Mus musculus: one gene and its partners. The protein of the gene in region 7 interacts with the protein of the main gene of each other region in a pairwise test. Links are inferred from orthologs where the notes say so. Each region holds a gene or a part of one and is shown on either strand. Other genes may lie near its edges.

The links.
Region 1: the proteins of Dazap2 (region 7) and Zc3h10 interact in binary tests that used the Homo sapiens proteins (3 or more experiments, as listed by UniProt). The two-hybrid records come from large-scale screens. The link is inferred for Mus musculus from reciprocal best matches to the Homo sapiens genes DAZAP2 and ZC3H10.
Region 2: the proteins of Dazap2 (region 7) and Mapk1ip1l interact in binary tests that used the Homo sapiens proteins (3 or more experiments, as listed by UniProt). The link is inferred for Mus musculus from reciprocal best matches to the Homo sapiens genes DAZAP2 and MAPK1IP1L.
Region 3: the proteins of Dazap2 (region 7) and Arid5a interact in binary tests that used the Homo sapiens proteins (3 or more experiments, as listed by UniProt). The two-hybrid records come from large-scale screens. The link is inferred for Mus musculus from reciprocal best matches to the Homo sapiens genes DAZAP2 and ARID5A.
Region 4: the proteins of Dazap2 (region 7) and Rabgef1 interact in binary tests that used the Homo sapiens proteins (3 or more experiments, as listed by UniProt). The two-hybrid records come from large-scale screens. The link is inferred for Mus musculus from reciprocal best matches to the Homo sapiens genes DAZAP2 and RABGEF1.
Region 5: the proteins of Dazap2 (region 7) and Clasrp interact in a two-hybrid assay, tested with the Homo sapiens proteins (2 studies listed by BioGRID and IntAct). The link is inferred for Mus musculus from reciprocal best matches to the Homo sapiens genes DAZAP2 and CLASRP.
Region 6: the proteins of Dazap2 (region 7) and Tax1bp1 interact in binary tests that used the Homo sapiens proteins (3 or more experiments, as listed by UniProt). The two-hybrid records come from large-scale screens. The link is inferred for Mus musculus from reciprocal best matches to the Homo sapiens genes DAZAP2 and TAX1BP1.

Annotation. Positions count from the first base shown.
Region 1 is NC_000076.6:128,544,947-128,549,062, forward strand, and holds the start of Zc3h10 (zinc finger CCCH domain-containing protein 10), read right to left. Parts: upstream 2,801-4,116; 5' UTR 2,748-2,800; exon of another isoform or gene 2,225-2,747; intron 1,946-2,224; 5' UTR 1,882-1,945; intron 593-1,881; 5' UTR 541-592; coding exon 1-540. Other genes in the region: Rpl41 (60S ribosomal protein L41), read right to left, coding at 3,441-3,483, 3,712-3,734, 4,003-4,014. UniProt on the Homo sapiens protein: Specific regulator of miRNA biogenesis. Binds, via the C3H1-type zinc finger domains, to the binding motif 5'-GCAGCGC-3' on microRNA pri-MIR143 and negatively regulates the processing to mature microRNA.
Region 2 is NC_000080.6:47,297,148-47,301,188, reverse strand, and holds the start of Mapk1ip1l (MAPK-interacting and spindle-stabilizing protein-like), read right to left. Parts: upstream 2,801-4,041; 5' UTR 2,784-2,800; intron 2,414-2,783; exon of another isoform or gene 2,257-2,413; intron 1-2,256. Other genes in the region: uncharacterized protein Gm35078, read right to left, coding at 2,801-3,206.
Region 3 is NC_000067.6:36,314,233-36,317,732, reverse strand, and holds part of Arid5a (AT-rich interactive domain-containing protein 5A), read right to left. Parts: intron 1,525-3,500; coding exon 1,406-1,524; intron 530-1,405; coding exon 409-529; intron 124-408; coding exon 71-123; intron 1-70. UniProt on the Homo sapiens protein: DNA-binding protein that may regulate transcription and act as a repressor by binding to AT-rich stretches in the promoter region of target genes.
Region 4 is NC_000071.6:130,212,328-130,214,837, reverse strand, and holds the end of Rabgef1 (rab5 GDP/GTP exchange factor), read right to left. Parts: intron 2,005-2,510; coding exon 1,606-2,004; 3' UTR 501-1,605; downstream 1-500. UniProt on the Homo sapiens protein: Rab effector protein acting as linker between gamma-adaptin, RAB4A or RAB5A. Involved in endocytic membrane fusion and membrane trafficking of recycling endosomes. Stimulates nucleotide exchange on RAB5A. Can act as a ubiquitin ligase.
Region 5 is NC_000073.6:19,587,487-19,590,986, forward strand, and holds part of Clasrp (CLK4-associating serine/arginine rich protein), read right to left. Parts: intron 2,850-3,500; coding exon 2,753-2,849; intron 1,339-2,752; coding exon 1,260-1,338; intron 1,179-1,259; coding exon 1,105-1,178; intron 381-1,104; coding exon 339-380; intron 1-338. UniProt on the Homo sapiens protein: Probably functions as an alternative splicing regulator. May regulate the mRNA splicing of genes such as CLK1. May act by regulating members of the CLK kinase family.
Region 6 is NC_000072.6:52,734,229-52,737,728, reverse strand, and holds part of Tax1bp1 (tax1-binding protein 1 homolog), read right to left. Parts: intron 880-3,500; coding exon 731-879; intron 648-730; coding exon 557-647; intron 1-556.
Region 7 is NC_000081.6:100,614,167-100,618,461, reverse strand, and holds the start of Dazap2 (DAZ-associated protein 2), read right to left. Parts: upstream 2,801-4,295; 5' UTR 2,751-2,800; coding exon 2,738-2,750; intron 2,413-2,737; exon of another isoform or gene 2,140-2,412; intron 1,550-2,139; coding exon 1,431-1,549; intron 538-1,430; coding exon 292-537; intron 1-291. UniProt on the Homo sapiens protein: In unstressed cells, promotes SIAH1-mediated polyubiquitination and degradation of the serine/threonine-protein kinase HIPK2, probably by acting as a loading factor that potentiates complex formation between HIPK2 and ubiquitin ligase SIAH1.

The DNA of each region.
Region 1 (4,116 bases), on a different chromosome or scaffold from region 7:
GCCTGTGGAGCCTCCACCTCCAGTGCCTCCTCCACCGCGAGCATCAAACTCAAAATCCCTTTGCAGGTGACGAAACTTGCACTTGGCTCCTCTCTGACAGTCACCTTTGAGGAAGTCGCGGCAGATGGGGACCTCCTCCTTACCATTGGGTAGGTCGGCGGGTGAGAGACCCAGCCCAGCGGCCACTTTCTGCCTCAGCCGGGGAGGCAGCTCTCCTGTCTTCTTATAGCCATCCTCATCCTCCTTGGAGCCGTGGATGAAACGACAGTTGGGGCGGCTACACTCCTTGTTTTGGAAGTCATGGCAGAAGATAAATTCATTTTTGCTTACCCCCAAATTGGATACCTCACTCATGTCTGGGTGGCGGTATCGACATCGCTTGCCTCGTTTGCAGACGTTCCTCAGGAAGTCTCTACAGATGGCATCTGAGGTGGCTCCCCCGCTGCCTGTCCCTGCCCCACTGGCCTCCTCACTGCCACCACCTCCAGGGCCTCCACCGCTGCTGCCAGTGCCGTTGGCATAGCTGTCCCGGTCAGGCATCCTGGTCCCCCCCAAGTCAGGGTCTTCTTCCTTTTCTTGCCACTCTTGGCGACTGTTAAAAAAGAGAACTGTGTCAGAAAGGGGTCCTCCGGAAAGCTCCCTCTCTCCTGACCATACAGTGGGCAGGCTTCTGGGGCAATGGCTTTGGGAGATGGAGAATCCAAGGAGAATTCTAGCTAGCCCGGCTGACTTGCCAGAAGTCCCGCCCAGGCCCTTATGCACCTGGTCTTGTTTGGAGTGATTCACACTTGCCTGGCTAACACAGGAGGGAGAGAGCTGGGATGAAGCCACTTCATCTTACTAATGATGCTCAGCCAAGGAGGGGGAGGGAAGGGGAGAGTGTTAGATTTTTACCTTCTCTCATTTAAGTTGTGAGGGAGAAACTAAAACAGGTGTTGGTGTGTGAACAGACTGACACTGGAAAGAGTGCTCTAACACGGGCTGCTTAGCTTTGAGAACTCATGGAAGAAGGAACACCAGAAACAGAACTTCCCTTAATCCCTCTTCTACGTAAACTCAGCTCAAGTCTCCATGTATTTTAGAAATCCCTGGTTAAACAAAACAAAACAAAACAAAACTGGTGTCACTAGCTACAGGGTAACCCTGAAACCTGTCCATCTCCCAGTGTGTTCCACACACAAACACCCTCATTTCATGGAAAGACGTTCTGAGCTGAACTTTCTACTTTTAGATCCCCAGGACGAACTGTTCGAAGGACAAGGTGGAAAGGAGTTACTTTCATAGGAACGGTGACCTTTCTTTCCCCATTCCCCACCCCACTCCATGAAAATCCCACTGATATCAAACCATAGCACTCCTTACCCCATAAAAATCCTCTTTATTTATAGACTCTATAAAAGCTTTTTAAGTCTCCTGTTTCTCAAGAGAGCTCTGGAATGTCAGTCCACTGCCCTAATTCTAGCCCTCCCTTCTCTCTAACCCTGGGAGTCTAAGACTGGGAGTCCCTGCTACCACGTGTCTAATCTTTTAAATGTTCCCTGAGTAGGACTCAGGCTCCCCCTACTGTTCAAATAAGAGAAGTTCCTAGTTTCCGTTTGGGAATAAAGATACCTTTCTTGATTTCCCGTTTCCTTGACTTCCTTGACTTTGCTAGAATAACTAACCAGATTAGAAGTCAGAGATGCACAGGAATACACAAGATGGGAAAAGGAGCCCCAGAATATAAGAAACAACTGGTAAGAAACAAGCCCTTAAAAGATCATAAATGACGATCAGGTGAAGACTAAATGCCTTCAAAGCCTGACCAATGTTTCAAGTCCCACTAGAAGCAGATAACTGGATATGATAGCCTTCCTCACCCCAATATCCCAGAATTAATACCTGAGGTAGCTCAGGTGAAGTCCGGGGCTCCCGTGAGTCTCCACCTCCACATCACTGCTGGGTTCTGAACAAGAAACAAAAAAACAAAAAACGGAGATTTGAGTAGAACAAGGGAAAAACGTGAAAGGGATATGATGTGGTTTTCATACACTGGAATGAATTCTGACAAAAAGCTAAGAGCTTTGTGGCTTTTAGGCTCCCTTAAGAGGTCAAAGTGAACGTCACCTATCACAAGGAGAAGTCCCTATTAAGAAGGATAAGGGCTAGAACCGACCAATAAAAATTGGGAAGCTGAACTAAAAAACAAAACAGTTCCTGGTGAGGAAGGTTAGCGGAGCTTTACCTCAAGATGAGAAGGATATGGGGTTCAGAATCCGATCTAGGGTTGGAGTTCGGAACGCCAGCCAAACCTGAAAGCTGGACAAGGGCAACAACTGACTAGTGTCAGTGGGAAGGCGAGACTAGACTCGGGGGCGGTGATTACGACCATCCCCCAACACCCTAGAGTTCACGAAAAGTCCTACGAGTTTCCCTGGAAGTCTTCTGGCTTGGCCGGCTCCGCGATGCGGTGCCAGCACTCAGCGGTGGACCAGGTGACTGGGACACTGAGGAAGTGAAAGGGGAGGGGGGCTCGGGGTGACATCAGGCGGAGGGATGGGCAGGGCTGTGACGTCACGGGGCTGGCGTTTGCTTGGGAAGCGAGGTCAGTGAGAAAAGGGGCTCTGTCCTGGGTAACGAGGAAGAGCCAGGTCGGTTCCGGGGGGTTTGGGGGAGGCTCGTGTGGCCGGGCAGAACCCAGTCGCTGGGCCATCCCCGACTCCTCCCCTCCGGGCGCGGCCTCCACCTAAGTCTCCCGCCTCCCTCACCTGCCGCCGCCGCCGTAGTTGCTGCTGCCGCCTGCCGGTCCTCTAGCTTCGACAAAGAGCCGCCCACCCTACGGTTCTTCCGCTTCCTGCGGAAGAAAGAGACGCTCTAGCTACCAGACCCGGAAACACACTCTATGGTCCAACTTGCGTGCTAGTAGGCGCAGGAAGCTCCCAACAAGCCTTGCGCATCACCATGGTAACAGGACTCCGCCGGACCCGGAACTCCGCTCAGCGTCAGGTTCTACGCAGTGGTACCCCCAAAACGTAGGAGTGGCGCTGTGAACGCACCAACTCTGTAACTTAACCTCGGGCGCACACTCAACCGGCTCCAGCCAGATCAAACACCCAAACTATGTCGCCTATACAGAAACACACTCGAGTCCCCACCCCAAGGAACCGCAAAAAAACACGTAACAGCAGTTTGATTCTTCAGCTGACTGCAAGAGGGTTTATTGTACACGAGCTACACTTGGCCACAAGAGAACAGAGCTAGTCCAGAGTGCCGGGGGTCCAGGGCAGAGGGACTGTTTTGGTTGTAAGAAAGGCGGTCATTTCTCCAGGCGATCGCGGCGAGGTGACGTTCCAGGTCTACTGAGACTCATTACCGATGGCAGCACACAGTCCGATAGCTTGTCCCGGCCCTCAGCATCCCTCACTTCTGCTCCTGCAGGCGTCGTAGGTGCACGGGCTGGCTTACTTGGACCTCTGCCTCATCTTTCTTCTCTTGCGCTTCAGCCTGGAATGGAAGGCACACAAACCTGAGTTTTTTTTTTTTCCTTTGCACATCTATCAATACGTACACTTAGTGCACGAGTACAAGAGACGATGAGATTAACAAGCACCAGCTCTGCTGTACTGGGCGGCGACTCCTGCTTCCTTCCCGCCAGATATTTTCTTCCAACCAAATATCCCACACCGAGCTTGCCCCCACTGCCCCAAGGTAGTCTTGAAAAATTAAACGTACCTGCGCATTCTCTTCTTCCGCCACTAAAAAAACCCGATCATGTGAGGAGACAAAAAAGAATGTTAGAGACAGGCTTGTGCAAGGCCATGAAACTGCTCAGAACACAGGGCTTGACAAAGGACACCGGTTCAGTTTTAGAGCCGAATCCCTCATTTTCCCACCCCATCTTTTCTTCAGCAAGAATTTTAAGCCTCTCCCTGACTGCGAACACCCGAGGCAAACCGTCTGGAAGCCCGCAGAGGAACCATGGCGGGGACTAGGTGCCCGATTCACCACCTAAGAGCCGCTCACCTTCGCTCTCATGGCGCAGGAGTCTCTAGAGAGAAAGAGGGAAAAATGCCGTTAGCCCGCTGTGATGATAGTGAATGTGGAGGTCGGATGTTAACGGATTGCACTGGAAACCCG
Region 2 (4,041 bases), on a different chromosome or scaffold from region 7:
CACCAAACTTTGACTGGAGACCAAATAATATAAGACCCCATATTTAAACACGAACATTAAACCTTCTGGACAAAAGCAAGGCTCTTAACAATCTTGTAAAAGCCGTGCCTCCTCGATACCCCACCACCAGCTGAAGTTCAAGAATCTAAAGACACAGGCAGTGAGACCATATGGATAAATAAATTCAGAGAAATCAAGGAAAATCAGGACTTCTATGATTTTTGTATGGGTGAGTGTGACAGTGTTAATTCTGAGATTTACCAGAGAAAAACCAATTCCACCATTTTGGGCCAAATTTGAAGGAAGCTTTATTAGATATTAAATACTGACCAAGAGATGGACTTTGGCCAGGACCACTAACTGGCACCTCCAGCTGGGTGGCCTGGAAACACATGTTGGAGGGGCTTTTCTGGACAAAACTCACTGGCCCCCATACTTTCCCACAAGATTTTATTGTTTTCCAAGAACTACAACTCTTAGCATTCTGGAAGTTACCTGGTTCTTGGAAGGGTGAGGCTTACAGGTTAATTTTGGGCATTACATTAGTATATATTATATTGAAAGCAGATTCTGGATCAGTACTGGGTAATTTATCAGATTATATTCCATTTTATAACTGGGTAAGTAAAAAAGCTTGGAATGTTTTGAACATCATAGTAGGAGCTCTTATAATGTATTCCTATTAATTGGAACCCAAGCTTTAGAGTAATTAGTGGCATGGCATAGACATTCCTGAGAAGTGGTATCTCTGCAGTCTGGAATAAAAGCTAGAGTATTAGGTTAAAGACAGGCTCCGGGGTAAGAACAGTTTGTATAAAACCAGAGGAAGACCAGTCTGGGGGAAAGCAGATGCAGTTCAAATTGGCTGGAATACCAGAAAGCAGTAAGACGTTTTAGCAGAGGGTTTTGGACAAGAGTGCTAAATAGCTTTACAGCTTACTTGACTGAGTCAACCTCAGTTTCTTCATGAAGTTAGAATGGGCTGTCATGCTATACAGGAACTAAACAGGACTTCATCTGACCCAGTGACTAAAACTGGAAAATAGCAACAAATGTCCAATTCTCTCTTCCTGCCATTCTTAACATTTTAAAAACTATACACGGGGTTGTTCACTTCCATGGAGGTTCCCCAGAAGGCTAGAAGTGCTTAATGTCCTGGAGTTATACGTGGCTGTGAATGCTGGGACAGAACTCCAGTCCCCTGCGAGAATAGTGCATGTGTTCAACCTGAGCCATCTCTCTCCACACTGCAGCCCCATCTTCTCCTTCTCACTTAAACACAGAACAAAAAAGCCACCAGAGTAGACTGCCTGCCTGGCCTATGGTCAAATCCAGTTCTCTGAGTCCCATACATGGCAGTAAATGGGTATTTTCCAGAGATTTGCTGAGGCTTATTATACTAATCTGTAAATAAATCTCTTAAGTCACTGCCTGGCACTGAGCAAAAAACTCAACAAATGTTAGCTTTTACAACCGATACAATATGGCCACAAACCTTTGTCTATTTTCAAAGCAGAGAGCAACTAAAAAAAAAAAAGCAATTTCCTAAGTACTGCACAAACTTATTTGGTGGCAAAAGCTGACCCGACATTATTTATCCATTTCATTTTCCACCCACTCCCCGCTATAGTCTGAATAGTTACAACTGCTGAATTTTTTTCTTTCCTTCCCTAAAGTTTTGGGACTTGAATTTAGGACCTTGTAGCAAGCCGGGCTAGCACTTATCTACAGGCTCACCCTGTGCAAATATTACTAATTAACAGTCCCCGAGTCTAGGGCTCCTCTATAGTTAACAGTCACAGAATCTCAAGATTGCTGAATTCCTAAGGTTCCTGAGCCCAACGCTCAACCTCTGTAGGGAGAATGAAGATGACACCGATTCCTTCTGTAATCAAAAAGAACATTCCAACCTCGGCAGCTGCAGGAAAAAGTTTTTGAAGGGAAGTGTTCTAGAGAGTGGCTCCAATACTCCACGACTAAAAACTGCCCTCCTCCCCACCCAAGGAGCGCCACTAACAAAGACTTCCGAGGGCGACTCCAGCTTCTGAGGGTTTGGCCTCCAAACAGGCCTTTCGCACATGGGGGAGGGGGCAACACGTGTGTGTTTCTGTAGTAGGCTGTTACACATCTACGGTGGGGTCTGGTTTAGATACTTCAACTTTAGGATTCGTGAAAACATTACTTTCAGTTTTCATGGCAGGGAGGAAAAAAAATGGTTCAAGCGTTCTAGCTAGCTCAAAGGAGAACGTCACTCACTCAGCCCATGGCACCTTCTGTCCCCCGTAGTCATTTAAAGAATGGGTAATTACGATCAGCGAGAAGCTTGTCACACAGAATTATCAGGCGCCAGACCTTGCTGTAAGGATTCGGGTCTCCTCCACTGTCGTTTTTATTAGAAATTAGTGGCTGGGATACCGGTGGAGGGGCAAGGGGACGGGGGGGGGGTGTGGGGGACAAACAAGCTGCCCTTTAGGGTTAAGGGAACAAAGGGAATCCGGGATCAACCGGAGCGAACCAGCCCCCAGCCGGTCACGCAGGCGGATGTGGGGGAGGGTCGCCCGCTCCCGCCTAACCCCTCACCCCCCGCCCGCCCCCGCCCAAGCCTGGCATGACGTGGGCGCCCCGGAACCCGACGGGCGCGACATTAGATCCCTCGGTCGCCTGGTTCCCGGGGGACCCTCCCCATCGAAAGCTCTAGAGCCGCCAGGCCCCCCGGGACCCCGCGTCTTCGCATCGTCTCCCGCCAGCCTCGCGCCCCGCCGCAGGCGCCCAAGCGGACTCACCCGGCAGGATCCGAGTCCTAGGCGCGGCACAGTGGCGGCGGTGAGTCCAGAGAGACGGGCAATGGAGACCCGCTGAAGGCCTGATGGACCGAGACGACAGCGACACGGCTCCTCCTGGCACCGGAAAAGGAAGCGGGGAGGCCGACCTGGCCGCCCGTTATTTCCGCCCGCCCCGCCCAGCTTGCACTGCGCCTCCAGCCGGCCGCCCACGAAACTGCAGGCAGGGCCGCGTGGCTCCGGGAGCCTGGGCTGTTTCCCTCTGGGTGGAGCGCGGGAAGGTTTCCCTGCTTCCTGAGTCCAAAAGACCCAAAGGAAACCCCCTGGCCGGTGATGCTCACCGCAACCCAGGGACTGAAAGCGGAGTTTGGATTCTCTGTGTTTAGAGGTTTTTGTAGACAGGCTCCAAGCTGGCTGTCAGTAGTCCTGTTAAAATCGAGGGTAAAGAGATGAGGGAAAAGGGAAGTCTTTCTAAAGGTCTTGCGAATGAAAACTTTTAAAAGCATATGTCTGCAGAGACTGAGTTGTATAAGTTGGAATTTCAGTACTGTGGAAAGATTGGAATGTTGCAGGTCCAGGGGCTAATTACCTTATCTTGGGCTAGTGCTAGCCCTCCAGAATAGCCACCTCTGTGTCAAAACTAATATCTTGTGGCAATAAGATTAAAAACCTTTTAGGTCTATTAACAGGCAACTAGCCTCTGCCAATCCAAAAGCTAAGAATGTCATCGGATAATGTCTTAGATGTATAGAAAAGCTTCCTCTATCTTGATGTACCCTCCAATGTATCCATCCACCAGTGTGTTTTAAACTTTGCCTTGATTTATAGCGTTCTCTGTTCTGTAAAACTAAAAACCTCGTGATACTGGTTCCATGTTGGGACATGGAATTTGAGGTAACCTAAATTTGTGTTTTGGTGCCATCATCATTCAAAAATGGGTCCAGAATAAGCTATCTCTGATTCCCTTTAAGTTTTAAATTAAGAATAGTGGCCTCAACCTGTGGTTTATGAACCCTTTGGGCGTCGACTCTTTCATAGGGGTCGAATATCAGATATTTACATTATTTATAACAGTAGCAAAAATACAGTTATGAAGTAGCCATGAACTAATTTTCTGGTTGGGGGTTACCACAACATGAGGAATGGTATTAAAGAGTCACAGTATTAGGAAGGTTGATAAGCCACTGCTGTAAGATGAGAGGTGTTGGGTTTTTGAGACTGGCCTCTGTTTCTGGGAGACTCAAAACTGACATACCAGAAA
Region 3 (3,500 bases), on a different chromosome or scaffold from region 7:
CCCTAGCTCCTGCTGGGGGGTATGGCTGAGGCTGGAGCACAGCGAGGGACTTGAGAGAGTCCTTCCTTACCAGCTCATAGGCCCCCAGCTTCTCCACTGCCTTGTAGATCTTCCACAGGTTAACTGAAGGGAAGAGGCAAGGCAGACGGTCAGGCTCTGTGACCCCACACTCCCAGGCAGGACCACTGTTATGGACAGGGCAGGCTGCCCATGAGGATGAGAACCCAACTCCACCCCTCGCCTTCAGGGAGGCACCGTCCTCACAGGCAACCCCTACAGGCTGGCGGCATCCAGGGTCACCTTTAGCAGAGGTGCCTTGCCTGTTGTCTTGCCTGGGGACATCCCCTGGCTGCTGCCCCCCTACACTTACCCGCCCTGAACACCATCCTCCCCCCCCAAGGGACGCACTCTGCTTGAAGCCAAGATGGGGCACCCTCTCGATGGGCGTGTGTCGCTCCTTCATGAACTTGTAGAGGCTGACCAGGAAGGCCTGTTCCTCCTCCTGCTCCCCACCTGCCTCAGGGGAGTCCTGGGGAAAGAGCAGGAGGCATGGATGGGCGGGCCCCACTGATGGGCAGCTGGGCACTGGGAAACCGCCTCTGTGTGAAGGAATGAGTGCCTAGGCCCCATCTGTGGGCTCCCTGGGAGCACCTTGCCTCCTGTCCTGGCTCTCACGGGTACAACCTGGGCTTAATGCCCAGGTTCATGTCAACAGCTGGAATCCAGAGTCCCAGAGTCCTGGCAGCCCAAGGCCTGGAAGTGGCCACAGGGGCAGGCCTCAGTTCTCCAGGTCAGGACCCCCTTTATATCTTGCTTTGATCTGTTTTATCCAACTCAGTTCCTGGAAGGCAGGGTCAGAGTCCCTCAACCGTATGGTAAAAGCCAAATGCGCCCCAGGCAGTGGTGGCACACACCTTTAATCCTAGCACTCAGGAGAAGCAGGCAGAACTCTCTGAGTTCGAGGCCAGCCTGGTCAACAGAGAGAGTTCCAGGACAGCCAGGGCTACACAGAGATACCCTGTCCCCCCCAAACACACACAAAACTGCTAAATGCACACAGACACACAGTGTTTCCTAGTACCAGGGGGCCTGCAGCTTCCAACTATCAGCTTGACCAATAGGTGGGAGCATCTCTTAGCCCCTCAGACTTATGTCTGTCCATTTTGTGACTGAGTCCAGGTTGTTAGATTATCAGGGTTCTGCTACAAGTCTGGGTGAGGCAGTGGCTTGTCGTACCTAGTCTGCCTTGCCTAGCACCCATATCCCGCACCTTCTGAGGTGGGGCTCCAGGCAGCTCTGCAGCATGAGGCAGAGACGCCTGTCTCCCTCTCAGAGCTCGAAGTGTCTCAGGTTCCCTGGAGGCTGAGCTCAGCAGGGAAGAGCTCCCAGGATTTGTCTAACTCACCTGGAGCTGGGTGGGGCTCTGGCTCCTGCTCTGCTCATCATCTGGCTTGGGGGATACAGGAAGCTGCGGGAGGTCACCTTCTTCTGACTGCTCTGTGTTCCCTTTGGCCGGAGGTGCTGCTGGGAAAGGGGAGCAGAGGAGAGGCAGGTGAGCTGTGGTGAGGAGGAACTGTGGGGAAGGGGCTGAGGGGTGGTCCTTCACATCAGCCAGGGAAGGAGGAAATGCTCACATTCCTTCCAGAGTGCTCTTTGCTGGTCAGTACCTCACGCTAAGCAACACACGTGCTCAGACAGACAGACAGACAGACAGACAGACAGATGGGCACAGACACTTTGGGTCACCTTGGCCCAGCAGCCACCCTCTATTCTTTCCTCTATTCTAGCCACACCCCTACATCTCTGCAGGAAACCCTTCTTAGCCTCTTCATTATCATCCAGGGTCAAGTCAGAGGAGTCTGGATAGGGAGTGCTGGGGACACTCTCAAACCTGCCCATGTTCAGGCAGAAAGCATTGGAGTAGCTCAAGTGAATGTTACCATAGCTTCATCTATGAGTTCCCCTACCTCCAACTGCTCTTAGGACCTCAATAACAAGGTCTCTTGATAGCCTTCAAAGAGCTGTAATCCCTCCCTCCAGATGGCCTTGGCCAGGCCCAGCTAAGTCCAGCACTCCTGTCCTTGCCTGTGCTGTCCTCCTGTCCTTGCCTGTGCTGTCCTCCTGTCCTTGCCTGTGCTGTCCGTCATGACTGAACTGCAAGTCCTCCAGCCCCTGGTCAAGACAGGTGTCAGACAAAGGGGAGTGATGGGGGTTCCCGGCTTGTGATGATGGCCTCGGGAGAAGCCACAAGTGCCACCCTGTTTAGTGAAAGCCCTGGCCCGGGCAGGATGTTGCAAAAGTGACACAGATTAGCCACTGCAAAAATATCAGGCAAGCTGCCTCAGGTGTTGAGGCAAGCAGGCATCAGATTTTGACCAAATCTTTTATTTATTAATGAATTAATTACTTGAGACAATGTCTCACTGTGTAGCCCTGGCTGGCCTAAAACATGGAGCAATCCTCCTGTCTCTGCCTCCCGCCGGATGGGGTTACAGGCGTGTGATACTGAATGGGGTGGCTCTGATGCTGATTGGGGATCTGCATGTGAACCTTGAAGGTCCTGTTCCCCAATTGGTTCTTGATCGATCAGTAAAGATGCTAGCGGCCAATGGCTGGGTGGAAGAGGCGGAACTTCCGGTTTCCCTGCAGGCAGACTAGAGGGAGAGGAGAAAAGATGTGCTATACTTCAGAGGGAGAAAGAGCCACCAGCCATGTGAGATATCAGAGTGGGCTGAGTGACCATTGACCTCTTCCCTGATTGGGCCTGGGCCTGGGGTGGCAAGGCAGGAGATTTGAAACACAACTAAGCTGAGGGCAGATTTAGGGTGCTGAGCTGGGACTAACGGTAACTGAGCAACTAAATTGAGGAAAGATTCAGAGGTGTGGAGCTGGGAGTGAACAGAAGGGCACACTAGCCAAGGAAGGCTTAGAAGAGCCCGGACACTAAGCTCAAGCATATCAGAAATAAGCTAATGTGTGTGTGTGTTTCATTCACAGATTTAGGGTGGCTCCTGGGTGGAAGCTGGTAGCTAGGTCCACCGGAGCTTAGAGCAGGGTAGTAGAAACTACATGTTACATGTCCAATTAAACGGCTGGCTGTCCTGGAACTTGCTTGTAGACCAGGTCAATGGCCAGAACCCAGAGTTTCAGAGTCCTGACTGCCCAAGGCGTGGAAGTGGCCGCAGAGGCAGCCCTCTGTCCTCTAGGCCAGGGTGGCTTGCTTAGATCTGTTTATCCAACTCAGTTCCTGGAAGGTAGAGCCATCACACCCTGTCTGACGACTTCTCTTTTCTTTTTGTTAATCTGGTACAATGGGACCAACTCTTGGTTTGCTCCAGCTCAGAGAACCCTTGCCGAAGGAAGCTGGAAGATTTTCCTGTCAGCAAGGGCAGAAATGAACGTCCCATTTTCCTATCAGAATAGGCATATACCTGTAATCCAGGTCCTGGGAGGCAGGGGCAGGCAGATCTCCCAGTCCTAAGGGGTACACAGAGAAACTG
Region 4 (2,510 bases), on a different chromosome or scaffold from region 7:
CACATGAATGGAGGCCATGTTCCCACAAACATGGGGGGGCGCTGCTGGCATCTGAGTACAGAAGGCAGAAATCCTACTCAATATCCCACAATGTACAAGGCAGTCTTGCCATAACAGGAAAATCTTAGACCCCAATGGTCAACTCTGAGGTTGAAAGTTCTGAGAGATGTCTATGTGACCTGCTGACTCTGTTGCCTGTTGATAAGTTAAAGCAGACTATGAAGAGCGCAAGGCATCTGCTTGCTTCACGCTTTGAGAAGTTCCCCCATCAACTTCCAGAAGCCTCATTCATTCCCTACAACTCCCATCTAAGAGCACATCTTTGTATCACAGAATTCTGGGATGATTTGTGTGAAGGAGCTGAGTGTGGTGGTAAGAGACCCCTAATCCCAACATCGGGAGGGAGGCTGAGATAGGAAGATCACAAGTTTGAGGGCTACCTGGGTTACACAGCAACAGCCCGTCCCCAAAGACCCAGAAACAAAACAAAACCAATCAGATAAAAAAGGCAATAGCCCCACAGCACTGTGGGGGAAGTTTATTGGATAAACAGGGAAAGGAAGCTGCAAGCACAGTTCCAAGTCAACTGTACTAATCAGCAACTGTGTGTTCATGTGTGTGTGCTACACATGTATGTAGAGGTACACAGGCACATATGTGGCCATGTGGAGGCCAGAGGGCATCCTTGGCTATCATTTCTCAGGAGCCGTCCATCTTGATTTGTTTGCTTACACGAGGTGTCTCATTGACAGCGATGCCCCCTGCCCCAGGAACTCTGGCTCCCAGCAGAGCTGTCCCAAGTGAGTGTCACCATGCCCAGCTTTTCACCCGGGGCCGGACAGGGAGCTCAGGTCCTCACATCAGTATGGAGAGCACTTTACTGACTGAGCCACCACCCCAGGGTCCCAGAATAATTCTGTATGTGACCTAAAAGTTGGCGTTACAACTTCTTCACATGTACCAGAAAGAATCTCAAGTTAGGGCAGTTAGTGCCAATGTCCTGTTAAAGCTCAAATTCTTTAGATTCTTTTTAGTGGGACAAACCATATAAAATGGCGCTAAAGGCAAACATTCAATAAATTTCATTTTCACCTAAAAAAAAAAAAAAAACATCAGCTCATGAAATGCCATGCACGCTGAGACACCCCTCCCCAGCCCTATGTGTTTTTTTTTTACATATTTACAATTTTACATATTTACTTATTAACATTATCTTCTATCTTTACAATTACAAAATTATTTCACACTGGGGGAGTGTGGGAACATAGAATTCATTTCAACATAGACTTTATAGCATCTGTTTTATCCTTTAAAAGGCAGTGTTTGCCCAAAACCAACAACAGTGTCTACACAGAGGAAGCCCATGGGAAATCAGGCAGGACATAAAAGAGCGACACAGAATTCACACAAACCTACTCCACCAGCTCAAATAAATAGTACATTATTATTTACTAAGCTTCCCCGCTAGAGAAGAAAAAAGAGAATAACCAATCCCTAAATCTGTACCTAAAAACACTTTGAAACTTTAAGCAGTCAGTTCATATTCCGGACCTGAACAGTGGAACGCAGCAGCTCCCAGAAACCAGCCCCAAATAAACAGGGCCGTCACCCTGCGTACACCTGAGGCTGCAGAGGGGGAGGGAGCTTGTCGTTCTCCACATTCTCAGAGTCGATGGCTGCTAAGGGTTGGTTCGGGGGCTTAATCTCCAGTGGGTATTTCTCAACAATGTCTTGAACTTCCTTGGCAATCCCGTCTGTCCAGTCTATTAAGTCTTTTTCAAGTTTCTTGGCTTCGTTCATGATCCTTTCTTGCCGTTCATTCAACTGAGACAGGAGGTCCAAGTTCTTATACATTTGCTTCACACCTAAGCAGGCCTCCGGGGGCCAACTCTCAGACTCCTGCTTCCTGGGGGATGTCTGGCCAGACATGTACCGGTCAAAATCCTCCTGACTTAAATTCAAAGACTGGGCGTCTAATTTCTCAATGAAAGCCACAGCACAGCACTGCAGAGCAAAGAGAACAGCATGGCGGTCAGCAGAAAGGCTGCAAGAATTCAGGCAGAGTTTTCAATCTTTCCCCATTCCTAGGTCTGAGGATTGAACATGGGGCCTCGTGCATGCTGGGCAAGTGCTCTGTCACTAGCTATATATCCTCTGTCCTGTCACAGAGATAATTAGTAGCCTAGGCTAGCCATAAATTTACTAAGTAGCAGCTGGGCGTGGTGGCGCACACCTTTAATCCCAGCACTCGGGAGGCAGAGGCAGGCGGATTTCTGGGTTCAAGGCTAGCCTGGTCTACAAAGTGAGTTCCAGGACAGCCAGGGCTATACAGAGAAACCCTGTCTCAAAAAAACAAAAACAAAAAAAAAAACCTTACTAAGTAGCCAAGAATGATCTTGAATTCCTAGTCTTCTGGTTCCTGGTACCTCTGCTTCTAGAGTCCTGAGACTATAGGCATGGGCACCAGGCCTGGCTGTCCTCTTTACCACAGGGACTCACTATGTAACCCA
Region 5 (3,500 bases), on a different chromosome or scaffold from region 7:
TTCCTGCTTAACCTGGAGAGGAGGTCCTCAGCTAATTCCAGCCCATGAAACACTGAGCCTAGTGGGACTCCCTTTAGGGAAAAGCAGGCCAACACAAAAGGCCCCACTCCCTGGCCTTAGCAGAGAGTGAGGGGAGTTTCTCACTAATTCTGGGAGTCGTGTGTTAAACACACCCAATCTCTATGCCCCTTTATGTCCTAAAGAGATTCTAAATTAAAAAAAAAATTTGGAAAAACAAAACTGATATAGACCCAACCCCTATCCATAGACCACAGGATGCCATCTGTAACAGGAGTGACCCAAACAGGAGTGACTTCTTCCAGAGCACTGACACTTACCGCTTATAGGGGTCATAGGTGGGGCTGTCTCGGCGGGCATAACTATGGAGAGAACAGGGAAGGGCAGGAGAGCTGAGACCAGGCTGGCTAGTGTCAACTATTCCACTCTGAGCCCCAGTGCTGCAGATTGTACACCCCATGTCATTGTGGGGATCCCACATTGGTCTCCTTATTACAGCCCTGGTGCTGCCAGTGCTACACTGGAAGCCATGGTGACCAGTACCCAGCATGGTGACATCAGTGCTGGCGAGAAAACAACAGTATGTCCAACTAACTCAGTGCAGTATCTGAGTCTGAGGATTCACACTCTTCATAGGGGAGGAGCGGTCCCTGTGAGGGTAAGTAACGTCCTCTGGTGGCAGTGCCCTGTGTGGAGGGGCCTGTGGCCTGCTGCTAACCTTACACTGTCACACCCAAACCTTCCTCAGACATTTGCCCAGGGCTCCCAGGCCCAGATTCTTCTCTACTCATATGCAACTGCTCTCCCAATCCTCTCAAGACTTCATTGTGGGAAGTAGCCTCTCTCCACTTTACAATGGAGGAAACTAGCCAGAAGAAAGGAGCCTCTTATCTAGACCCTGTAGAGATGACACTGACCAGTGCAGGTGGGCTGTGTTGGGCCCAGCAGGTTGACTGAGAGGTGGGGGGCAGGTGGCCCGGGAAGCATTCCCATGCCTCCAGCTACTCCTAGCTCTGTAACTGTCGCCCCACTGCCAAGGCTGGGCTCCACTCTCCAGCCCCTGGCTGTGCAGAGGAGATATCCTACCTGGGAGGGCTGATCTTGCGGCCTCTCAGCCGCTTCTCCCGGAACTCTCTTCGCTGTCGCCGGGAACGACGGCCCTGGATGGGGAGGAAGCACCAGGACGGTGAGGTGTGCCCTCACTGGATCCACTTTTACCCCCGAGCCCTACCAGACCTCACCGAGTACATGGCTTTCTCCTCCTCCAGGGCTTTGGCATGTTTGATGGCCTCTGCCTCCTCCTTATCTTTCCGTAGCATCCTGCAGAGGAAGTTAGGATGGGCATGAAGGGCATAGGTCACAGAGTGGGCAGAGCCCTGGTAAAGGCAGCAAAGACAGCAGGGACCTGATGTTACTCCATGATTCCTTTCTCCCTGAACCAGGGCTCTGCTGTAGGCTAGCTGGTCTTTAACTCACGGTGAAATCCTTGTAGCCACGGGATGTGCAGGCAGGCATTACCCTACCCTTTCCTTTTCTGTTCTTCCCTTTGATGGGGTCTTGTTCTGTTGGGCCTAGCTTTGAACTCATAACCTTGCCTCAGCCTCAAGACTGCAGAATCATAGGTATGCGCTATTACACTTAATTTCCCTTCTGTGTTTAATAGATTTTATTGAGCACCTAAAAGAGCTGGTTTTAGACCTGATTTCTGTGTGCTCTGCCTGTGCATGTGTCTGTCACATGTGTGCCTGGTGAATGCCCTGGAACTGGTTGTGAGGCACCCTCACAGTTGGCACTCGGGGCTGGAGAGATGGCTCAGAGGTCAAGAACACCTACTGTTCTTCCAGAGAACTTGAGTTCATTTCTAATCGCCCACATCTGATAGCTCACAACTGCCTTTAACTTCAGCTCTAGGGGATCCAGCGCCCTCTGCTGGCCTGCACATGATGCACAAAACTATATATAGGCACAACACCCATACACATAAAACTCAGAACAAAACAGAAAGGAGAACCCCACAAGAACACTTTAAAAACTGTGTGTGGCTACTCCATGCCTGTAACTGTGAAAGGCAGAGGCAGGAGGATGGCTGGGGCTGGCCAGCCATCAGCACAGCTCCAGGCTCTCTGCTTTGGGCTGAGTAGTGGGGGCAGCAACAAGCACCTTTAATCCTTTAAGGGCAAAAGCACTGGAGCAGCGGCCCTCAGCCTGTGGTCCTGTCACCTTTGGCAAATCTCTATCTCCAAAACATTTACATTACATCAGAGCACCACAAAGATTAGTTAGGAAGCAGCAGTGAAAATACTGTTATGCTTGGGGTCACTACAACATGATGAACTGTATTAAAGGGTCACGGGGTCAGGAAGAACCTCTGAGCTAGAGGGTTCTAATAGGCCAGGGCAGGGACCTGGGGATTCATCCCCAGTGCCACACAAAAATGGTTTCTGGTCTGTCGGTGCCACTGATGTAAAGAGAGTGCTTGGTGTGGCATGACCAAGTACAGGCAGTGGCAGAGGCTTGCTCACTGTCATATGAACATGCATAGGGATGACCACTAGAGGGTGCTGTCCCCAAAGAACTAGTAGCTTCCAGGTCACGCTGTAGGACAAGATCTGTTTCTGCAGAAAGTGGGGCTACAAATTCATAGCTCACAGGCTGAGAACAGATGCTGGTAGCAGGCATGTGATACAGAAGCCAGGGCATAGCCAAAATCTGGCATGCCAGCCAGCACTCTCACCTGACAAAGTCTCCATCAGCCATGCCGTAGGTTGTGGCCTGCTTATTGAGATCAGCCACCTGCTCCTGGTTCAGCTCATCCACATCCACCTCCACGTCTGCACAAGAAAAAGGCTGTCAGGGACCCAAGCCCCAGGAGAGGGGGGAGGAGCACCCCAAGTCGGGGCAAGTCTGCCAGATAGAGCACCTTCAGGGAGAATGTTGCTGTGCTAGCACAGCTCTGAGGACCAAGCTGAGGCTTGGCCAGCACAGCACACAGCACAGCAGGGGACCAGTAGGGTGGGTGGACGAGTCTGTGGATGGAGTGCACGAAAGACAAGATGGGAGGTGGAAATAGATGGAGGTGGGGTGGGCAGAGAGCGGCACACAGAGGAAGGGCAGGAAGGACACACATGAACTTTGGCTCTGGCTGGGGCTAAGTCTGCATGTGCACCAGGAAGAGTAGGATAGAGACGGGGCAGTGACAGTCTTCTGGCCAGGCACATCCACAGGAGAAGGAGGTAACCATGGGGTATGAGCGATAGAAGCTGAAGGATGGGGGGCAGCTCTAGGAATGGGGAAAGTTGCTTTCCCAGAGCAAAGCAAGGCCAGCCTACGTAGAAGAGGAAGGGCTAGCTCCTAGGTGGAAGAATCTTCTAGAACAGTGCCCAGAAATGGGGAGGGAGAGCACATGGGATAGGGGACAGGCAAGACAAGGGACAGGGAAGGCTGGAAGTAACAGGAGACTGAGGCCCTGGAGCTGGGGTAGG
Region 6 (3,500 bases), on a different chromosome or scaffold from region 7:
TTCTGCATGCCCACACTTGTACATACAATCACGGATGTTCATGTATATACACAACAAATAATGTAAAAAATATTAAGCATCATCACTGAAAATATGTATATTCTTAAAAGGTGAGAACACTTTATAGAAATTCTGATAAACAACTATCCTGTCATCACTAAGCTTTCATTTATTATACAGTACCTATTATGTATCTAAAACACCAGCAAATTTCCCAAATACTGCATTTCAGGGACAGTATCCACTATCGTAATCTCGTTTCCTTCCCATCTTGGACTGCTCACTCTGAAGTCAACCATCATAATTATGACACTCAAGAGGCCTTCTAGAGACAACTGAAGAACCTCCTTACAAAAGCTATGAGGATCTCCCTATTAAAGCATGGTCAACCATGGAAGTACACTGTCCAGGCCCCCCATTAGCTGACTACAGTCCTTGTCATCCTCGTGACTATAACGAGACAAGTGACCAGGCACCCAGCTGAACTGCTCTCCAATCCCCAACCCCAAAAGCCCACTGGGGCTAAGCAGAGGCCGACACTAGAAAAGGACTTTACCTTATACAGCTCCTTCTCATCCTTTTCTGTCTGCAGCTGACATTCAAGCTGCTCTCTCTCATGCTGTGCCTTCCTGAGCTTATCCTTCAAACTGTGTAAGATGAAAAAACATTAGTCAAACCCTAAGTAGCTTTGTTAATAACCGAAGTGATTTCTTTAAAATACCAGGGATACCTGTCTAGGTCAGTTTCTTTTTCAATGGCTTTATGTGTCACTGATACAATGTCCTCTTCAAGCTGTTGAACTTTAGCTGTAGCATCACTGTATCTCTTCATAAACTCTTCGTTTTCCACTCTCAAACTTTGTGATACTTCAAGAAGGCCCTTAAAGACAACAATAAAGTATCTTTCAGTAAAACAAAATTGTGTATACTTCAGAGAGCTCTCTTTTAGAAGGAGAGACAATGTGGTAGCACTAGCGCCCTTAATCCCAGTACTTGGGAAGCAGAGGCAGGCAGATCTCTATGAGTTAAAGGCCAAACTACTCTACATAGTGAGTTGTAGCACAACCAGGACTATGAAGAGAAATCCTGTCTCAAATAAATAACCAAATAATAACTTGGTTTTTCAAGACAGTGTTTCTCTGTGTAGCCCTAGCTGTTCTGGAACTCACTCTGTAGACCAGGCTGACCTCAAACTCAGAAATCTGCCTGCCTCTGCCTCCTGAGTGCTGAGATTGAATGCAGGTGCCACTATTGCCCAGCCTTAAAAGGGGTCTCCTATCTTTTGGGTACCAAGAATATACGCATTACCACTACATTTGTCTCTGATTTCTTATCATTTCAATCCCATATTTATTATCTCAAATTGTATAAACCAAGACTATAAAATAAGCCTGAAATTCTAACATTTAAACTTTCATATACTCAACCTTTTGTGTTTTTGTGAGTATATCATATGTCCATGTGAAAATATGCACACATGTATGTATAGGGTGTGCAAGCATCAAGCCTTCCCCTATCATTCTACAACTTTTTTCCTTTTGAAGCATGGTCCTTCCCTTGAGCTTAAGGAGTTTTCTTCTTGATCAGGCTGGAAGTCAGAAAGCTGGCTTGAAACTGGGGTTACAGGCTTTGCAGTGTTGCCCAGCTTGTTATATAAGTTCTGGGATTTTATTGAAAGGACGCAGATGTAGCTGTCTCTTGTGAGACTATGCCGGGGCCCAGCAAACACAGAAGTGGATGCTCACAGTCAGCTAATGGATGGATCATAGGGCTCCCAATGGAGGAGCTAGAGAAAGTAGCCAAGGAGCTAAAGGGATCTGCAACCCTATAGGTGGAACAACATTATGAGCTAACCAGTACCCCGAAGCTCTTGACTCTAGCTGCATATATATCAAAAGATGGCCTAGTCGGCCATCACTGGAAAGAGAGGCCCATTGGACTTGCAAACTTTATATGCCCCAGTACAGGGGAATACCAGGGCCAAAAAGGGGGAGTGGGTGGGCAGGGGAGTGGGGGTGGGTGGATATGGGGGACTTTTGGTATAGCATTGGAAATGTAAATGAGTTAAATACCTAATAAAAAATGGAAAAAAAAAAAATAAGTTCTGGGATCTAAACTCCAGTCCTCATGATTACAAATGCATTTAACCACCAAGCCATTTCTCTAGCTCCCAAGACTTTTGTTTGTTTTGTTCTCAAACAATGTCATGTAGTGAAGTCTGACTGAATTTGTGATGCTCTTACCTCAGCTTCCTATGTGTGAAGAGCATAAGCATGCACCACATGTCTAGCCCTTACTGTTAGCACATCAATTACTAACATAGGTTTCTCACCCCTGCTTTTCATGCACTTTTATTTCACTAACTTCTCCACCAGAGGGCAGGAAACAAAAATTAAACAAAAAATTTTTTAATTAATTTGCTTTTTGGTGTTTTGACATCTTACTTTTATTACGTCAGTGACAACTCAGGTCTCATAGGACACTGTGGAGGTTAAGACCCACTAAGTGTCATACGAGCACTACAACACATGCCTGTATCTAAACCATTGCTCCTAATGAACTCAGCATGACTCAAAGACGAAAATAAATATCCAAGGCTGTTACAACATATATAAAAATAAAATAGAACCTTCTTTACACAGATACTTTAAAGCTTAAAATATCTTCATCCCATAAATTATGACAAGCATCTAGTAGCTTATGAAAGCTTGATCAAGGTCCCCGCTAAGTTTCTCTCCTAGCTAATTAATAAAACTTTGGCTAAAGTATAATAAGGTATACAAAGGTGCTGTTATGGAAAACTATATGCCAAAAGAACTGATAAGTCAAACTATTTCATTTTCTAAAAGCTGAGTATGATAGGACATATCTCCAATGGCCAACACTCAGGAGACTACGTAAGAAGATAAGCAAGCCTGATATCAGCCTGGTTTACATAAGCAAGACCCTATCTTAAAGGAACAAGATGGAAGACAAATGAAGGAGGGTGGAAGAAATTAAGAAACACTGCACTAATGACCAAATTAATAATTATTAAGTAATAGGGCCTTATTGGCCAGAAGAATAGAACAAATACAACTTAAGAGAAAATTCAATCCATCCATAGGCATGAAGCTAGCCATCTAGCTATAACATTGAAATTGTGAGGCATATTTTTCTACAACTAAAAGTTATTTTTGTGAAAATTATTACATAAATCAATGACTATAGTAAGTAGTCACCTTTTTTTCTACAGATGTTAGTTTCAAACTCAAATCCAGTTTTTTACATATAGTCATTTTTCTTTGCTCAAGAAAAAAAAATGGCTACCTTAACTAGGTGGGGATTTTTTGTTTTCTTTGAAGGGTAATTTATCACCTTTCTCTCATTAAGAATTTCACATTTTTGTCTCACAATGTACTCAGGTTACTGACTTCTGCCTTGTTTCTGCTCCTGTTTGAGTGTTCAGGGCAAAGGCTATTGCTATTATGTAGCCTATTCTGTTGAGAACCTGGTCACAAC
Region 7 (4,295 bases):
ACTCGCTCTGTAGACCAGACTGGCCTCAAACTCGGAGATCCCCCTGTCTCTGCCCCTAAGTGCTAGGATCAAAGGAAGATGCCACTAATTTAATAAGACAAGAAAACAAATCAACCTGATTAACTCTAAAACCAAGGGCTGTGTCCAATGCCCTGATTGGCCCGGCCACATTTCTGCTCTGAGAGGGCAGCAGCTGTGCCAGCCCTGACCACTATGGTTGGAGAATGAATATGAAGTCATTTCAGACTGTTCAAGTATACAAGGGCTGAGCTCCCAGTTAGGCATACTCACAGGAATGTTGCCAGCAGTGGCACCAGCTCCAAATCTGGCACCTGCATCATACCCTCCTTCCACCAACACTGCTGAGCCAGGTGGATAGATGGGACCAACTGGATAATAAGCCATGGGGATTGTGGAGCCTAGAGGCCCAACAGCCACAGACTGGGCCATAGGCAGATACAATGAGGCGCCAGGAAATGCAGCTGACATGGTGGGGACTGTGGCAGCCCCTGGATGAACAAAGCTTGGACGATAGAGCTGAAAGAAGCAGAAGAGAAAGCAAAACATTATTTTTGTGACATTCCTATTTGGAATCTCTTTAAGTATTATTGAGACCATCTCCTGTAGCTCAGGCTAGCCTTCAAGTATGTAGGAGTGGATGACCTTGAACTCCTGACTCTCCTGCTTTACCTCTTGACTATGGAATTAGAAGCCTGTGCCACCAAACCCAGTTCACATTGTGCTAGGGACCAAATCTAGGGCTTGGTGCATGCTAAGCAAGCATTCTACCAAATCAGGTACATCCCCAGCCCCTTGTTTGGTTTTGGAAATGGGGTTTGGTTATACTGGCAGCCTTGAACTCAGCTTCCTCCTGACTCAGCCTCTCAATGCTGAGACTACTCGCCTGTACCACCACGCATGGCTCATGAGTCCATTCTTAGTTGTTTTTTTTTTTTTTTTTTTTTTTAAGATTTATTTATTATATGTAAGTACACTGTAGCTGTCTTCAGGCACACCAGAAGAGGGTGTCAGATCTCATTACCAGTGGTTGTGAGCCACCATGTGGTTGCTGGGATTTGAACTCAGGACCTCTGGAAAAGCAGTGCTCTTAACCATTGAGCCATCTCTCTAGCCCCTTGTTCCTAGTTCTTGTGTTTGCAGATTACACACTGGTTATAGTCACTGGCACACAGTATTCTGAGTCATTTGCGTCCACAGCTACTATTGTGCTCAAGGGACCCAAACTCAGCTTAAGTCAGCATGTGTCAAATAGCATAATCAGATACTGCATTCAATTCCAATGGTAATTTTCACCTTAAGTTCTAGATGATTCACAGAGCATCCTTCTGCTTGTGAAGTCAGATTTGAAGACTTAACAAGGGGATCCAAGAGTGTTCTCAACTAGCTACAAGTCTAGGAAACTGCAGTACCTCTGAATATGCAGGTGGAGCATCAGTATAGGGTGGAGCCTGAGGAAGATGTAAGGTCTGAGGATATACTGGATTCCCAGGAGGTTGCACAGGGTAGGTAGGCTGTGTTGGATATTGACCTGGAATACAAAAGGGGAGGAGAGATGTTGTCTGTCAGATTAGGAGGGGAGGTGGCAAACAGGAAAGATGCTCAGTGTGTGAGACAAAGTGCTGCTCTTCCTGAGGACCCCAGTTCTATTCCCAGCACCCACATATGACACAACCTCCTTTCAACGCTACCTTCTGCCTTGGTGGGCACCTACACTCACACTCACAGACACTTACACAGGCAGAGGCAGGCACACTTTGAATAAAAACAAGTTTGTAAGCAGAGCTACTAGACGGGCCAGGGTGCACAGGGTGGGGAGCAAGCAGAAGAGCTGCAAATAAGGCTGCCTTATTTCTTAGAGCCAGGAAAATAAGGATGGTCTCGGCACCCTCGCGCCCGAAGGTGCTGGCTTCTGACTGGGCAGAAGGCGCCGTTCCCACTAGCATACTGATTGATGGAGGCTAACTTGGCCATGTTCCCTTTCGAATAGAGGGCAGGTCTGAGGACCCGTTCCGGGGTCTCCGGACTGCTGGTGTCTTAGGGGACTCCTCTGGGTGATCTCCCCCGGGCTGTGCTGTAACCAGTCCTGACTCTGTGGGACCCACGGTTCTCAGTGTTTACCTCACGGGTTCCTAGTCAAGGTCGACCTCCAAAGAGTGAGTGACTGGAAGTTAACCGTGAGAAGGGCGGCGGGTGGAGGGGTGGGGAACGCGACCATGTTCTCACAAACATTAGCAACGCACAGGGGCGGCTACGAGTCCGGGCCCCGAGGAGGAAGCGCCAGAAGTCCCCGGCGGGCGAGAACGGGTCCTCGAGGGCCTGGGCCGTGCAGCGGAGCCGGCACCTCAGCAGTTAAGCTCGGCCGAGGCCTGTTGTTCCGAGGCGCGGCGCCCCGCCTCCGCCCGCCCTCCATTGGCTTCCCCAAATCCCTGCTCTAGCTCGCCATTCGCTCCAGCCGCTGTCCGTCACGGAAAAGCCCCCCCACCCCACACACAGGAGCCCGCGGCTCCAAACTGCGCCACACGGTTTATGGGGTCGGGGCCCAGAGGGCCGAGCGGCTGCGTTGTGGGGGTGGAGGGGGGCGGCCACGTCAGGTGCGGCCGCGCTGTGCGGCCCGCTGAAGAGAGCCGCACAGACCGCCCCAGGCCCGACGTCCCCCAGCCCGCTCGACCCGAACCCGCCCGCTTCCCCGACGGCCCCCGCCACTTCCCGGCCTTGCCTTTGCTGTTCATGGTGGCTCTGAGTCCGCTCCCACTCGGCGTCGCGGACGGTTATTTTTCTCGTCCTCTTCCTGTTCGGAGTCACTTCCGTGTCACGTGACGTTCGTCCACTCTGCGTCAGGAGATGCCCGAGTGCGCCGCCGCCGGAAACCCCGCCCCCTCGCAGGCCGGCCAGTCGCGGCAAGGAGGGCGCTCGCGGCCCTGCTCTGCTCGGAAGCCCCGCCCTCCCCGCGCGCTCTGCCCTCACGGCGCGCGCCTCCTCTGGGCTCGGCCCCGCCCCTCCCTGCGCGGCTTCGCCCTCACCGCGCGCTTTGCCCTCACTAATTGCCCCGCCCTCCCTGCGAGGCCCCGCCCTCCTCGCTCTCCCCGCGTTCCTTGCTCTCTCTGCGCGGCCCCGCCCTCACCGCGGTCCTTGCTCTCACCGTGCGCCCCGCCCTTATCACGAGCCACTCCTTCCCGCGCGGCCCCGCCCTCACCGCACCGCTAGCCCCGCCTCCCTGAACGCTCCGCCTTCACCGCGGGCTCCTCCTTTCTGCGCGGCCCCGCCCTCCCTGCGCGACCCCTCCCTCACCGCGCGCTCCTCCTTTCTGCGCGGCCCCGCCCTAAAGAAAGCGGAGTCAGCTCATCTCAGGGCGACTTCCTCACTGTGAGTCGCCTCTGCTCACCAAATTCAGGTGTGAACACAGGCTGTCACGACTCCACAGTGCCTGCGAGACGCAGCCCAGACCTCAGACCTTAGCCTGTCCGCCGTTCTGGTCCTTCCAGGCCTCTTGTTGAGGGCCCAGCGCCTGGCTTCGTGCTCGGAGATGGACCGTGTCCCCGCGCCCCGCCCCCTGTCCTGAGATAGACCGTGCCCCAGCACAAGCTGAGGGGACGCAGCCAGCACCTGCACCCTGGCCTGGCACGTCCTACGGGGACCTGAAAACTCCCTACAGATGTTGTGAGTGGTTTAGCCCGCGCTCAGTTGTCCAGAAGAGTAGCGACGACGTCTCTTAGGACAGTGATCACATTTTTTCCCGTTTCCTCGTTCCAGAATATCTGCTGAGCAACCGAACGCGCTCTCATAGATGCACAGAGGAACCGACCGCCGCAGCTGTCTGCAGAAGTTCGTGTTGTGCGTGGTCAAGTAGATGGGCAGGCTTTGGAGGGAGAGGTCCTTGGTGAACGGACTCCTGATTCGTCCGACACCGAAGGCCTTGCTTGTGTGTCAGGTGTCTATTTAACAGTTTGCGTGGCGTCCTGTAAATGCAGTTTCGTCCAGTCGGCAAGCACAGCAGCCTGAGAGGCTGATCTAGTTCAGCCTGGGGACCTGCGCATGAGTGTCATGGGTTCACGCCGACACACATATAAAAATAAACATTCGAGAAGAAAAGAAAAACTGATCTAAAGGACAGGTTACAGACTTGAGTTTTGTGTTCGGCCTCCCAGGTTCCGGGTCAGTATTTCCATTTTGGTTTCCTGTCAGCACACAGAGCATCCCCTAACTAGGCTGCGCTAACTAAAGGATGTTAGGGAACTCTCTTGGGTATTTTTTAAGTTCCCATTAAGTATTTATAT